Caenorhabditis elegans: one gene and its partner. The protein of the gene in region 2 purifies or fractionates together with the protein of the main gene of each other region. This does not show direct contact. Each region holds a gene or a part of one and is shown on either strand. Other genes may lie near its edges.

Evidence for each region. Proteins that work in one complex are often made in the same cells at the same time.
Region 1: the proteins of unc-101 (region 2) and kvs-4 purify together in Caenorhabditis elegans (affinity purification with western blotting, with the first as the bait; one study listed by BioGRID). This does not show direct contact.

Annotation. Positions count from the first base shown.
Region 1 is NC_003281.10:11,010,420-11,016,122, forward strand, and holds the start of kvs-4 (putative voltage-gated potassium channel subunit kvs-4), read left to right. Parts: upstream 1-2,144; 5' UTR 2,145-2,208; coding exon 2,209-2,213; intron 2,214-3,174; coding exon 3,175-3,266; intron 3,267-4,400; coding exon 4,401-4,496; exon of another isoform or gene 4,497-4,553; intron 4,554-4,631; coding exon 4,632-4,686; intron 4,687-5,703. Other genes in the region: exos-1 (Exosome complex component CSL4 homolog), read left to right, coding at 1-23. UniProt on the Caenorhabditis elegans protein: Voltage-gated potassium channel that mediates transmembrane potassium transport in excitable membranes.
Region 2 is NC_003279.8:12,506,316-12,514,617, reverse strand, and holds unc-101 (AP-1 complex subunit mu-1-I), read right to left. Parts: upstream 6,320-8,302; 5' UTR 6,064-6,319; coding exon 6,022-6,063; intron 5,968-6,021; coding exon 5,811-5,967; intron 5,130-5,810; coding exon 4,931-5,129; intron 4,332-4,930; coding exon 4,060-4,331; intron 3,836-4,059; coding exon 3,706-3,835; intron 2,672-3,705; coding exon 2,302-2,671; intron 1,816-2,301; coding exon 1,717-1,815; 3' UTR 1,198-1,716; downstream 1-1,197. Other genes in the region: mter-4 (Mitochondrial transcription termination factor family protein), read right to left, coding at 1-30, 168-256, 701-788, 965-1,099; asah-1 (Acid ceramidase subunit beta), read right to left, coding at 7,107-7,316, 7,528-7,721, 7,885-8,302. UniProt on the Caenorhabditis elegans protein: Component of the adaptor complexes which link clathrin to receptors in coated vesicles. Clathrin-associated protein complexes are believed to interact with the cytoplasmic tails of membrane proteins, leading to their selection and concentration.

The DNA.
Region 1 (5,703 bases), on a different chromosome or scaffold from region 2:
TGCCCACGCAATCGGTGGCCTGAATAATTATCCTCTCTGAAAAGATCTTTGAATCGTTATATTTTTGTACTTTTTTTTGTGTTTTTGGGGGCCATTGTTTCGAGGAAAAAAAAGTCATAATTGTTCCCCCACTCATTCCTTCCTTTTTTGTTGAACAATTTTTCAAAAAAAAAAAAATGTTTCTCGGTTTTTTTTTTTCAACTTTTCAGGTTCTAGAATTTTTAGTTTTTCCATTTTTCCGGCGGAAATTTTTTTTATAATTTCAATTTTCAAAAAAGAGTAACTGAAATTGTGCGAAAATTCAAATTAGCCCAGTAACCGCGCCCTATTGAGAATTTACCGGTCTCGCAGCGAAATGTTGACTTTTTTCTTTTGAATTGCTTATAAACCAAGAAATTCGGCGATTTTTGTGAAAATATAAAGTTTTCGGTCTGGACACAACAAATTTTTGTTAAATGCAAAAAGGTGTGCGCCTTTAAAGAGTACTGTAGTTTCAAAATTTCGTTTCTGCCGAATTTAAATCGATTTTCCAAATTTTTTCTCACGATTTGTTTAGCTTTTTGCTAAAAAAAACATACGTTTTCATCAAAAAACTGTGAAAAATCTCTCAAAATTATGCGACAACTAAAGTTTGAAGCTACAGTACTCCTTAAAGGCGCACACCTTTTTGCATTTAACGAAAATTTGCCGTGTCGAGACCTTAGCGCAAAAATCGCTAATTTTTTCAAAAAAAAATCCTCGGCCACCATGCAGTCAAGGGATACTCCCTAAGACGTCATTTTCTAACAAAAAAAAAACAAAAAAGAAAATGTTGATGTTTCACCAGATTCCTCCCCGTTGTTGGGTGGAAGAACTTTCATGAATTTTGTATGTTTCGGAACGTAGCTCCTCCTTCAAAAAATGCTCCAAAATGCATGATGAGATGGGCTCACTGAGCTCCCCAAAAAAAAATTCATCGAGGAGCTGCTCACCGAGAATCACTTTGTTTTCGTCGACGATTTTTCTTGCAGATTACTGTAAAATTGGCAGTTTTTCGTGAAAACTGCTAAGTTTCGCTGCAAGACCAACAAATCTCAATGGAGCACGTTTGCAGCGTGATTTTGAATGTTTATTAAATTGCTCAGCTGTTTTGTGTAAAAATCGAGTCCTTCTAAAAAAACCCCCTAGGAAAACTCGTAAAAAAGACTGAAATCGTACCAAGACCCACCACGCGCCTTTAAGTTTGCCCATCATATTTTGCGAATGTGTAATAATAGTTTTAAAAAGGTATTTTTTCGTGAAAAATCCGGCATTAATTTAAAAAAATAAGTGTTAATCAATATTTTTGACCGAAAATTCAAGGTTACTCAGCAACCGCGCCCTGTCGAGAACTCCCCGGGTCTCGCAGCGAAAATACTGAAAAAAAGAGATTTTGGAAATTTTCGCGCCAAAACTGCGTTACACGGTCTCGACACGAAAATTTTTAAAATGAAAGTATATGTTTTTAGTGTTTCTATTTAATTTTTTCTCAAAAAAATAAATTTTCATCGAAAAACTACGAACATCCGTACCACCGAAATTTTGAAATTACAGTACTCTTTAAAGGAGCACACCTTTTTGCATTTAACAAAAAAATTGTCGTGTCGGGACCCGGTACCGTACTTTTCCGCGAAAGTTTCATTCCTATTTTGAAATTTTCTTAGAAATATGAAATTTCCATCTGCATTCCAGCACAAAAACATTTATAACTCGGGAATCCTTCAAGATTTTAAAAATTTGTCAACTGATAATATATTCAGCACAAAATTTGCCACATTTTGTTAGTTGCCAATTTTTTGATCAGTTGCTTAACTGGCGATGTATATGAGTTTGAAAATTTTCGGGAAAAAATTTCAAAAAAATTTTTCGAATTTTTTTCAATTTTCTTTTGATTTTGAATTTTCCTAACATCGTTTTATCAGATATTTTAAAAATTGAATAGCTCGAACCCTGAAAGATCCTCGATTTTTTAGTTTTCTCCTAAAAGTACTTAACTCCCCCCGTCACCTAGTACTTTTTAATCAAATTTATTCGCCAATTTTCAACATTTTTTTCCCTAACACCATATAATCAAATTCCCGTTTTCACCAACAATACCAAAATCCATTTATCAATAATCAATATTCAGTGCCACGTGTCACTCACTTCCAGACGCTCAAAATCGCGCCGATTCCCCAAAACCGGACAATTATGAGGTGAGACGAGCCGAAAAAGAGACAAGCCTATATGAAATAATGACATCTGTGACGTCTAGGTTATAGGTTTCCATGGAAAAATGTGTGAAGAATATTTCTGGCATTTTTGGATTTTTAAACAATTTTGAAAAAGAGTTTTTGGTTTAAAAATATTTTTTTTTCTATTTGTGTTTCACTTTTTCCGAGAAATTGCTAACTGCACAATTGTTTAGCTAAATAGTTGCTACATTTTGTTAGTTTACAATTTTTATGTAACTCGTAAGGCTATGAAGATATGAAGGTTCAAACGTTTAAGTTATGTAGGCAAAATGGTATTCACATGCTCTAATTTTAAAATCATTGTTTCGTTGCTGAAAATTGAGATTTTCAATTAATTCTATATGACAAAATATTTTGCAGAAAATTTGCCACATTTTGTTAGTTGACAACTTTTAGATAGAAAAAATTATAAAAAAGTTACAAACGTTTGAAAAAAATTGTAAAAAATTAAATTTAAAAAAACTGAAAATTGTAAACCGACCAAGTAAATTACGTAAAATTTTTTAATCTTTCTCTACTATAATTTTCACTTGCATTACTCCTAATAGAAAGGAAATGATAGAAAATATTAGCTTTTTCGAGAGAGCGAAAGAGAGGGGAGACGCAGACACTACAACCGTCTGCATTTCCCCTCACCCTCTACACACTCGCAGATGATTGTTTAAGTGCTTTTATCTTTTCAGGCAGTTGCGTTATCAAAACGTTTTTAAATAACAACTTGTAGAAAATTTTAAGGGCTATATTTTATTAATTGGTAACTTTTTGCTAATGCTTGTAGTTTTTGAGATATATCATTTTTAGATAAACAACTTTAAAAGCTTTATATCTTAAAAACCATTGAAGCTGTCAGAAACTTGTCAAGTGACAAAATATAGCCCTTAAAATTTTCTACAGTTTAATAATAAGATATGTTACTTTTCAGCCACCAAGCCTCCCATTTCGGGGTTAAGAAAAAGTGGAAGGCCAACGGATCATCGGGTGGTGGTGGCCTGTCGGCGTTTGCCAGGATGAAACGTAAGTTGTTGAAAATTTGGGAAACAACTATTTGTAACTAGTTTGACCTCCCATAAACCCGGAAGTTACTATTTTTGGCGCATCCCATCATTTTTAGTTCTTTCTTTGCTACGTTTGCATTGTTAAGGGGGTCTTCTTGCAAGAAATGCTGTGCCACGTGAAACTTTTAAAAATAAAAGTTTTGAAAAATTCATTGTTATTTTCAGGAACAAAGTTTTTATGGATGAATTTTCAATTTTCTAAAAAAGTTTTTAGAGTTTTCAGAAGAATCCAAAAATTAATTTTTACAATAAGTATGTTTCGTACAGTATACTGTACGAAAAAAAAAACGGGAAAACTAGGTTTATTAAAAATATGTTAGGTTTAATTCTAATATAACTTTGTAACTATGAGATTTTTCCAAAAAATCGGGAATACGAAAAACTAAAATTTTCTATTTTTCATTTTTTTGAAAATCTAAAAATCTAAGCAATTTAAATTTAAAAAAAGAACATGAATTTTTTTAAAAAATTAATTATCGATCACTCCAGCAGGGGTTGGCGGCAAAAAAAAAATTTTGTCGACAAATTCGGCAAATCGGCAAATGGTCGGTTTGCCAATTTGCCGGAATTTTTCATTTAAGGCAAGATGCCGATTTGCCGGAAACTTTTGGAGGGATTTTTTAACAGGACGGAAACACTTAAAACTATGCCTTTTTGAAATATTTTTCCCGTTTTCATTGAATTTCTGAAATCTCCAAAAATAATGTGCAAAAGCACTTGTCGTTTTTCTGGCAAATTCGGTGAATCGGCAATTTGACGACTGGCCGAGTTGCCGGATCTTTCGATTCCGGCAATATGCTGATTTGCCGGAAAAATTTTTTGCCGCTCACCCCTGGATCATTCCACGTCATAAAGTTGCCACGTCATAAAAAGTGTTCTTTGGGTGACCTCCATTGCTCATAAGCTCTCTCATAAATATCTAAATAGGCATATCTTTTTCATTTTTGCTCATGAAAGAGAGCACCACGATTTTAAGAAAAAATGCCTACCTACGCACCTACATGGCAGGCAGGCAACAAAATTGTAGGCATGGATGTGCCTGCCTTGTAGGCGCGAAGGTAGGCATGCCTTCTCTAAGGTTTGAACTTTTCAGCTGTTCTGGATCCATCGGCCGATCGAATTTGGACAATTGGACAAATTATCTATCAGCGACACCAGGCCTTTAACAGAAATTCCGCGATTAAAAGTCGTAAGAAATTTTTTTTCTCCCCTTGATTTTTTTTATTTTCTAAGGCAGCTGATAAAAGTGTCATTTATCACCTGTCAGATTTCCTCAACTTATGATACTAACAAGAAACTATTTCTTGAAAAATGTATATTTCAGAGGACAATGGAAGTTTCGACTACATTGATATGGTCTCGCAAAGCTCACTGGATAGGTTAGTTGGGAGTATAGTAGGGGTGCTAGCAAAAAGTTCTAAACTAATAAATTTTTTACTAGCTTATATAGTTTTTGAGATATAAAGGTTTAACTAAAAACTGCGATATCTCAAAAACTATTAAAGCTATCAAAAAGTTGTCAACTAACAAAATATAGCCCTTAAAATTTCCTACAAATTATTAATTAACAAATTTTTAATAGCACTTACCGTTTTTGAGAAAAGGGGGTTTTAGTATTTCTTAATTTGTGGTTAGTTTTTTTAGACTGTTTCCCATTTTATGTCGGTTGCTAACACAATTTCTCTTGAAAATAATTCCTAGATGGAAAATTAAGTTTTTACTGAAACCAAGAAATTGTGTTAGCAGCCGACATAAAACGGGAAATGTTTTTTTCAAAAATAACCTATTAGAAATTAAAACAAAACCAAACCTTTTAATCTCAAAAACTTTAAATGCTATCAAAAAATTGTTAACTGGCGAAATATAGTCCCTAAAATTTCCTACAATTTGTTAGTTGACAACTTTTTGGTATCACTAACCGATATGGATATTGAGGGTTTAAAAAAAAAATAATTTCTAAATTTTAATAGTTACTTTTTTTTTAACCTTTCCCATTTTATGTCGGCTGCTAACTCAATTCCCTTTTGATAAAATTAAAAACCACCTTGTTATTTTTAATAAAAACTCAATTTTCCATTACCTACAATTTCACCTTGTCCCGCCGCCGCTGACTCCGCCCATATTATTCAATTATATTTTGGTGGAGCGGTGCTTGTGCCTTAAAGCCAGAGAAAGTGGGAAAATTCGCACTCTTTCCTGCCTCTTTATTATCGACTTCTGATTTTGTGTCTGAAATACTTTTCCTTGGCTCGCAAAAAAAAAAATTTGAAAAAATAAATAAATGTGGAAACAACGAATTATCGAGGCTGCCCGGCGGGAAAAGGTGCGGGAACAACAGGATAGGTGGAAGGAGATTGCTAAGAGGCTTGTTAAGTAAGTTTTTTGCATAATTGTCT
Region 2 (8,302 bases):
ATATCCAACATTGACAATCGTCTCCAAAATCTGCAAAAAACAAAAATTTCTCATCTTATCTCAATTATCCGTTCTTATCAAAAATTTCCGCGAAATTTCTCCCCTCTCTCTAAAAATTTTTTCCCAAAAATAAATTGGTTTTTCTACAGTACCCCATCCAAACGTACCTCCAGTGAGGCGCCAGGCTGTGAGACAATTGTACGGAACAGTGTGGCGTTTTTTGTGTTCGCATCCAGCAGAAATTCGCATTTTACACCTGAAAATTGTGGGATTTTTGAGGAAAAATCGATAAATGTCTGAAAAATCACTGAAAATTTGATTTATTATGGTGAAAGATGGCTTTAAATTAAAGAAAACTACGTTAAAACGCTCAAAAATATAGTTTAACTCAAGAATTTGAAATCCCCGCCAACCACATTGCGCAAGTGCGCTCCATGGATAAAACAGCCCAAAATCAGGATTTTTGCGAATTTTCAGACTCAAAATGCTTGAAAATCGTCTGTAAAAACATAAAATTCGCCTAAATTCCGTGTTTTATTTCAAAAATTTGAATTTCCCGCCGACCACATGTTGCAAGTGCGCTCCACGGATAAAATGCTTCAAAATCTAGTTTTTTTTGTTTTTTCAGAGTCAAAATGCTCAAAACCCTCGATTTTTCGTTTTTTCAAATTTTTCACTAAAAAAAATTAGCAAAACCTACCATTTTCCAAAAGTTTTTCGAAAACTTTTGCCGATTCCTGTCTGGCAAAGGAATCTCGACCGGGAATCACAAAATGTGTGCCAGTTTTCTGGAAAAAATTGAATTAGAGTTGGAAATTTGAATTTCCCGCTAATGCAAATGCGCTCCAATGCAAAAAAAAGTCCAAAATTAGGGCAAAAATTCAAATTTCGCGCCATAAAAGCGTGATGCAAGTGTGCCCCAATGCTAAATCTTCAAAATTTTCAAATTCCCGCTTTGCCGAACCTTCAAATCGTCCACAATTCGATCCATCAACGCATTTGGCGCAAAAGTCCGCAAAGTGTCGTCAGATGTGGTGCATTGACGCGAAAATGCAGAAATTCGCAAATTTCGACGAAAAATCGGCAACAATCGGCGCATTTTCTGGCAATTTTTTGCATTTTTTTCAGTGATTTTTCTGGAAATTTAGACAATTTTTGAAATGGAATTTTTAGCCCCCGGAAAACATTTTGTAAACAATTATGACAGAAAATTTATTGATTTACTGAAAAAAGGAAAACGGGAAAAATTGATGAGGATCCATGTGGTGAGAAAATTATGCTGGTGGGAAAGGGAAAAAACTCGTTTTTCTGGAAAAAATCTAAATTATGCGATAAAAATCAATAAATAAATCGGTGGGAAAAATAAAATAAAAATTTTCGAACAAAAAAAAATAGAGTTCGGGGTCATCAGGGGAAAGAGCACACACAACACATGTTTTGAGCCGGGGAGCAGCTCGCGGAGCATTAAATTTTCACAGAAAAAATTGGAGATGTTTGACATTAAAAGAGGCAAAAATTGATGGAAAACGGGGCCGTGGCCTAGGATTTTCGAAAAGTTAGGCCACCACTGGAAGCATGGTGGCCTAGACCTCCAAATTTTCCAAAAACTCGGCCACGGTCGTTTTTCACCAATTTTTCATAAAAAATTCCAAAAATTAAGAGTAAAATTGGGAATAAAATACAATAAAATATGAATTTAGGTAATTTTTTCAGGAATTATTTCATCCGCATCTCGTATTCTCCATTTTGAGTAATGTAGCGGACCCACGGCAATGCTTGATATCCACTTTTCTCGATGATTTTCAGATAACGGACCTGAAAATTTGAAAATTAGGGTTTACTTGGTGGAATTTATGGGAAAAATTGAATTTTCAAGCCTTTTTTTTAGAAGATTTTATCACCCTTAAACACCAAAAAATCACATAATTCTCAATTTTGAGCCGTTTTCTCCGTGGAGCGCACTTGCAATATGTGGTAGGCGGGAAATTTGAATTTTTGAGTTAAAAAGTCAAATGTTAGGTTTTTTCGAGAAATTTGCATCATCTTGACGCAAAAAAATCACAAAAATCTGCATTTTGAGCAGTTTTATCCGTGGAGCGCGCTTGCAACATGCGGTCGGCGGGAAATTCAAATAATCTAGTTGAAAAGTCGGATTTTTAAATAATATCATGTGTTTAAATGAAATTTTCAGCATTTTAGAGCGAAAAAATTACATAAATCTCAAAATTGGGCAGTTTTTGGCGGTGGGAAATTTGAATTTTTGAGCTAAAAAGTCGAATTTTAAGCGAAAAATTCGGCTACCTGAATGCCGCTGGTCGTAAAATACGGAATTTCAAATTTGACTTTAATCGGCGGCCGTCCTTCAGACTCTTCACTCATCACAGACGGTAGAGATAGATGGGCGGTCAAAAGGTACTCTTTTCCGCCGGGAAAATTCTTAATAGTCCATACGAAGGCCGATTGCTCGGGCGTATACTTCACCGAACCGATGCTTGTCTTGAATTTCGGTGAATCAGCGTCCGACGGGACTGGAATAATGATTTCCACGTTATTAGCAGTGGAGCGCCGTTTGAATTGTGATTTCGCTTTGATTATAAACGAGACACGGCTGTGACTGTGACGTTCGATGCTTGTCTCGATCCAGATCAGCGGCTTCACCACGGTTGTTAATCTGAAAAAAAACGGTATTTTTCGAGAATTTTCAGGAAAAATTGGAGCTTTTTGAGGTAAAAATCGAGTTTTTCGACACAAAATTGAGGCATGGCCTGACTTTTTACCTGAAAACCTAGGCCACGCATGTAAATTTGCTTTTTTTTTATTTTTCAGTGTTTTCAAGCTAAATTTGGCCTAGTGATCAACTTTTTAGACTCAAAATTAAGGTGTGGCCTAATTTTCTACCCGAAAACCTAGGCCGCAGGTGTATTTGACTTATTTTTTAAGAAAAACCAACAATTTTGATCCAGACACACAGTTTTCAGCAAAAAATAGAGTTCGGCAACGAACTGATCAGTGGTGGCCTAACTTTTGCGAGAAACTAGGCCACGAGTGGAAATTTGCATGTTACGTGTTCCATTTGTTACAGTTTTAACGTGTTTTTACAGAAAAATCGAGCTATTGTAGTAAAGAAGCCGAGTTTTTAGCCAAAAAATAGAGTTCGGCCATGAATTGGCCAGTGGTGGCCTAACTTTCTTGTAAAATCTAGGCCACGTATGCAAATTTGTATTTTTCTAGAATTTTTCATGTTACTGAGCTCTTCTTCGTCTGAATAACGAGTTTTTTGACCTAAAAGAACCCAAAAACAGGAATCGGCCTTTGGTGGCCTAGTTTTTTCCGGAAAACCCTAGGCCACGTAAGCAAATTTGTATTTTCTACACCTTATAATTGTTTTTCGAGCGTTTTTGGCATAAAAAAGCAGAAATTAACTCGAAATTACAACTCGGCCACGAACTAGGCTATGGTGGCCTAACTTCCAAAAAACCTAGGCCACGTGGGTAAATTGGCATTTCCTAGGATTTTCTGGCATTTTCAGCTTTCAAATCGAGTATTTAAGCCAAAAAATAGACAAAATCAAACTTCGGCCACAGATTAGAAGTCGGTGGCCTAACTTTTCGAAAAAACTAGGCCACATCACTGAATTTCCGTCAAAATCATGCGAAAAACTCGATTTTTCGGTTAAAAATCCGATTTTCTCCACTTTTTTCGTACCGATAGCTCATAAGCTCAAATGCTCCGTCGGGCGGTATGAAGGAGATCGTTCGATCCGTGTCAAAACGCGACAGGCGTACACATTGATGAAATTTCACGTCTTCCAGTTCCACAGATTTGCTTTTTCCGCCTGAAAATCGAGAATTATCAATGGGGCGCGATTGTAGCGGTAGGAAGTTTGAATTTCAAGTTGCAAACGCGCTCCATTGCAAAAATTTAAAAAAAGTCGCATTGGAGCGCAATTGAAAAACGCTAAAAACTTTAAAATTGTTGAATTTTAACAAAATTTTATCGATTTTAGGGTAAAATTGCCTGAAAAATCTCAATTTTCGCATAAAATTCGAAAAAACTCACGTCCACTGCCCTCAAAAAGTACTTTATCGTTAAGACCCAGCCGAAGTTCAGGCATTCCGGTAAGATAGACACGCATTTTAACGCTTCCAACAATTTCCGATTGAAGTACGGTACCGTTGGCGCTGGCCAACATGTTCACACTTTCGATTACGTCCAGGAAAACCTCGTTTTTTCGGTATTTTATGCCTTCAGAGCGCCATGAGACGGCATTTGTCACTGCCATCGGGGGACGGGGTGCCGAAATTAGTTTTTGACCTTCTTGTGTGATGTATCTGCAAAAAATTGGGGGGTTTTTTGATTGAAAATTGAGGAAAAATCGATGATAATTTTGCACAAAAATTCAAATTTTCGAGTCGAAAAACACATTTTGAACAGGAAAATTGCGCTCCAATGTGAACTTTTGCGATTTTTGCATTGAAGCGCGTTTGCTGCATGTTGAATGCGAGAAAATTGAAATTTTCAATGAAAATTCAAATTTCCCAGCTGCAACCGCGCTACAGTGCAAATAATCGCAGTGGAGCGCGTTTGCAAATAGAAATTCAAATTTTCGAGACAAAAGACACATTTTGAACAGGAAAATTTGAATTTTTGAATTCCCCGCCACTGCAAATGCGCTCCAATGTAAATTTTTTGCGATTTTTGCATTAGAGCGCATTTGTGATTGGAAATTCAAAATTTTAGGGTCGAAAATACATATTTTGACCCAAAATTTAAAATTACTGCTATCGCGCGCTGCAAATGCGCTCCAACGCTAATATTTGGCTATTTTCGCATTGGAGCGCATTTGCAGCAGAAAATGAAACGATTTTTCGTGCGGGAAATTCGAATTTTTGAGTAATTTTTTTCAATTTTTCTCGTTTTTCCTCCTTACTCTTGTAGAATTCGACTCTCAGTCGTCTGTGGGAACCCGAAATCCATCATTTCGTCCAAAAGTTCATAGATAACGACAAAATTGTCGCGAACCGACTCCTCTTCGACATCTTTGAAATATTCGGAGAAAACTTCGACGCATTTGTACAAAAATGACAAAATCATTGTGACGTTGACGTTTGAACGGCATGCTGAGACCACTGAAATGAGGGAAATTTGAATTTTTGACTGGAAATTCTGGAGAAAATGACTGAAAATCCGTTAAAAATGGGTGTTTTATCATTGGAGCGCGCTTGCACCCGCTGTCGGCGGGAAAATTTCCGGAAATTTACAATTCTGGCTCAAAAATCGTGAAAATATGTCGAAAAAGTGTGAAAAATGACGAATTTTTCGCAATTTATCGACTTTCTGGCAGAAAAGCTTGATTTTTGAAACAATTTTGCTCCTTTTTTAAGATTTTTACCACATTTCAAATAAACTACAAAATGGAAAAATTACGAAAATCGCAGTTTTATTGATTTTAGTCAATTTTTACGAATATTCGGCTTTTTTTGAATTTTAGCACTCGGGAATTCAGAAAATCAAGGAATTTTTGAATTTTTCTGACTTTAAAATCAAAAAATTGAATTTTTTTGGGTTTTCCGTTATTTTCAAGGGATTTTGTTACTTTTCACTGTTTTTCAACTCATTTTTTAGTTTTAAAACGTTATTTTCAATTTGAAAATGTTAAAAACCACAAAAAATTGCACTTTTTATCGGTTTTTGGCTTGAAAATTCAAATTTCTGACCAATTGCGTCATTTTCAACGGATTTTCTTCAATTTTGCCATTTTTCTATCTAATTTTTGATTTTAAATTCAATTTTTCACACAAAAAACCCACAATAAATATTTGTGTGCTTGATAAACACGAAATTCGTGTCCTGATAGGTCAAAACGGGCGCTGCCGAGCCTTCTTCCTCTTTTTCCATGAGTAAATGAATGAATTTATCGATTGCCGTCATGTCGATGTCTCCGCGATAATTTCGAGAAATTATCGTCTGAAAAATGCGAAAATTGGCATTTTCCGACGTGAAAAACACTAAAAAACTCACTTTTCCCTTCAAATCCAGTATAAACATGGCGGAAGTCGCCATTTTCGACGATTTTTTGCGATTTTCTCGTTAAAATCGTCAAATTCCACGTGGCAGCTACTGGAAAATACTGAAAATCCGGAGAAAATTAGCGGAAAACGGAGGAAAATCGAAGAAAATGAGTGCAAAGATGGATATCGGCTGCTGGCGGGCACGCCCTCTTGCAGTCTGCAGTCTCTTCACTTTATATACTCTCTCGGCGAGTGACGGAGCGGCAGCAGCGGTGCAGGAGGCCTTGGAGACGGATTAATTGGATGGAAAAGGTGGAGAATTTGGTTTATAGCGGTTTTTTCGCGAAAAAATGGAGAAAAATACCGAATTTTGCAAAAAATCGACTTTTTCGTCGGAAAAGTGCAAAAAATTAAGTGAAAATCGACGAAAATCGGTTAAAATTCTATTTTAAAAATTCAAAACTGAAACCAAGGGAGCAAAATTTAGGTGTGCGCCTTTAAAACTACCGTACCTTATTTTATTGGACAATAATGACAAAAACTGGCAATTTCCGCCAGAAAATTGAATTGAATAATTTGAAAATTGAATTGAAATAAAAAAAATTTGTGTAAAAATACTGGAAAATCAGTTTAAATTCATTTTTCTAGTAGAAAATTCCACAAAACCACCAATCGCTACGAGACTCAGAAGAAATATTTAGGCATGCGCCTTTAAATCTACCGTATCCCATTTTTAATAAAATTGTGACGAAATTTGAATTTCAGGAGGAAAACTTGGTTAGAAACGAAAAAACGACGAAAAACCATAAAATTAGCAAACAATTATTTTTTAAATGTAAAATTCCACAAAAAGCAATAACTTTGGTAACCTCGATAAGTTTCGGTGCATGCGCCTTTAAATCTACCGTAACTCATTATTTTTTTCCAGCGGGAAAATTAAAATTTTTAATTTTTGTTTAAAAAAAACCAAAAAACTCTAAAATTTTTAAATTTTATGAAAATTTCGTTTTCAAACAAGAACCCATCAAAGTTTATTTACAAAAATGAAAGTTTATTTCAATGAATCATTGCGTATATGAGAATGTTGAATCCAATCTACCATGGATAGCATTCTCCCGGGCAGGATTGAAGGATGGTCTCGAAGCGAGAAGTCTCGACGGACATGAGGACGGTGTAGGTGGTGAGCTTATTCAGGTTGGTGCGGGATGACAAGACGTTGAAGATTCCCTCGAATCCGACGTTCTTCTGGGTCAACTTGTCCATGCAACGGAATCCCGGAGTGTCACGGTCGTCAAGGTAGAGGTCCTGGAAGAGGGAAATGTTGGATAAGTTAATTCCGGATAGGTTTTGACAGATTTTTGATCAAAATTTCTAGCTAGGAGTTCGACCCACTCAAAAAAAGAAGCTGGGTTCAAAATACTAGACCTAGGCCTAGAGAAGGACCTCTCCTAAAAGTTGGGCCCCTAGATCCGTCTACCAGAACCTACTCTACACCTTCAACTCTAGCATCTCTCACCTCGGTTCCCTGATCGTAGTTGGTCTCCAACAGGTACCATCCGTGTGGGGATGTGGCCATCTCGGTGAGAAGTGCGGTCTTGTCGAGACTTCTAGCGATGATGCATCCCTCGTCCTTCTTGGATCCTCCGAGAATGAAGTAGACTGGTGAGAGCATTGGAGTGTTCATCAAGTGCTCCTTGGCGTCGAGGTAGGCTGAAAGCTCGGGATATAGAGCCTTTATGGATCTCAGACGGATCTAGCCCAATGGATATTAGAAGCAAAGATTAGGGACACTTGAATCTAAGCCTAAGCTTCCTGGAAATCAAAGCTTCCGAATTCTAAGGATCTAAGTCATCAAGAAAACAATTCAACTCACTGGTCTTAGTCTCGAGGGTCTCTCTTGCCAACCAGGACATCCATTTTCCGTCGGCCTCCAATCCGAACACCCACTTGAGAATACCGTAGTATCCTCCGACAAGCTGGAATCGATCGTCAGCAGTCAAGGAGAAGGCGTTTGGCTTGAGACCGTTGTAGATTCCAATGTATCCGGCAAAGTTGTTCGACTTGTACAACAGCTTTCCGTCCTTGAGCCAGTTGACGTTGATGATCATCTTACGAAGCTTTTGCGAGATTTGCCAGTCGTGAAGAACTGGGTCCCATCCCATGAAGAGTCCGAAATCGAGGTTTCTGGCGTGGAAAACGTGGCCGTCCTTGTCCTGAGCGATGACCGATGTGCAAACGGTGAAGATCTCGTAGAAGATGTTATACATGGTGATCTGTCCCAATGGGATACC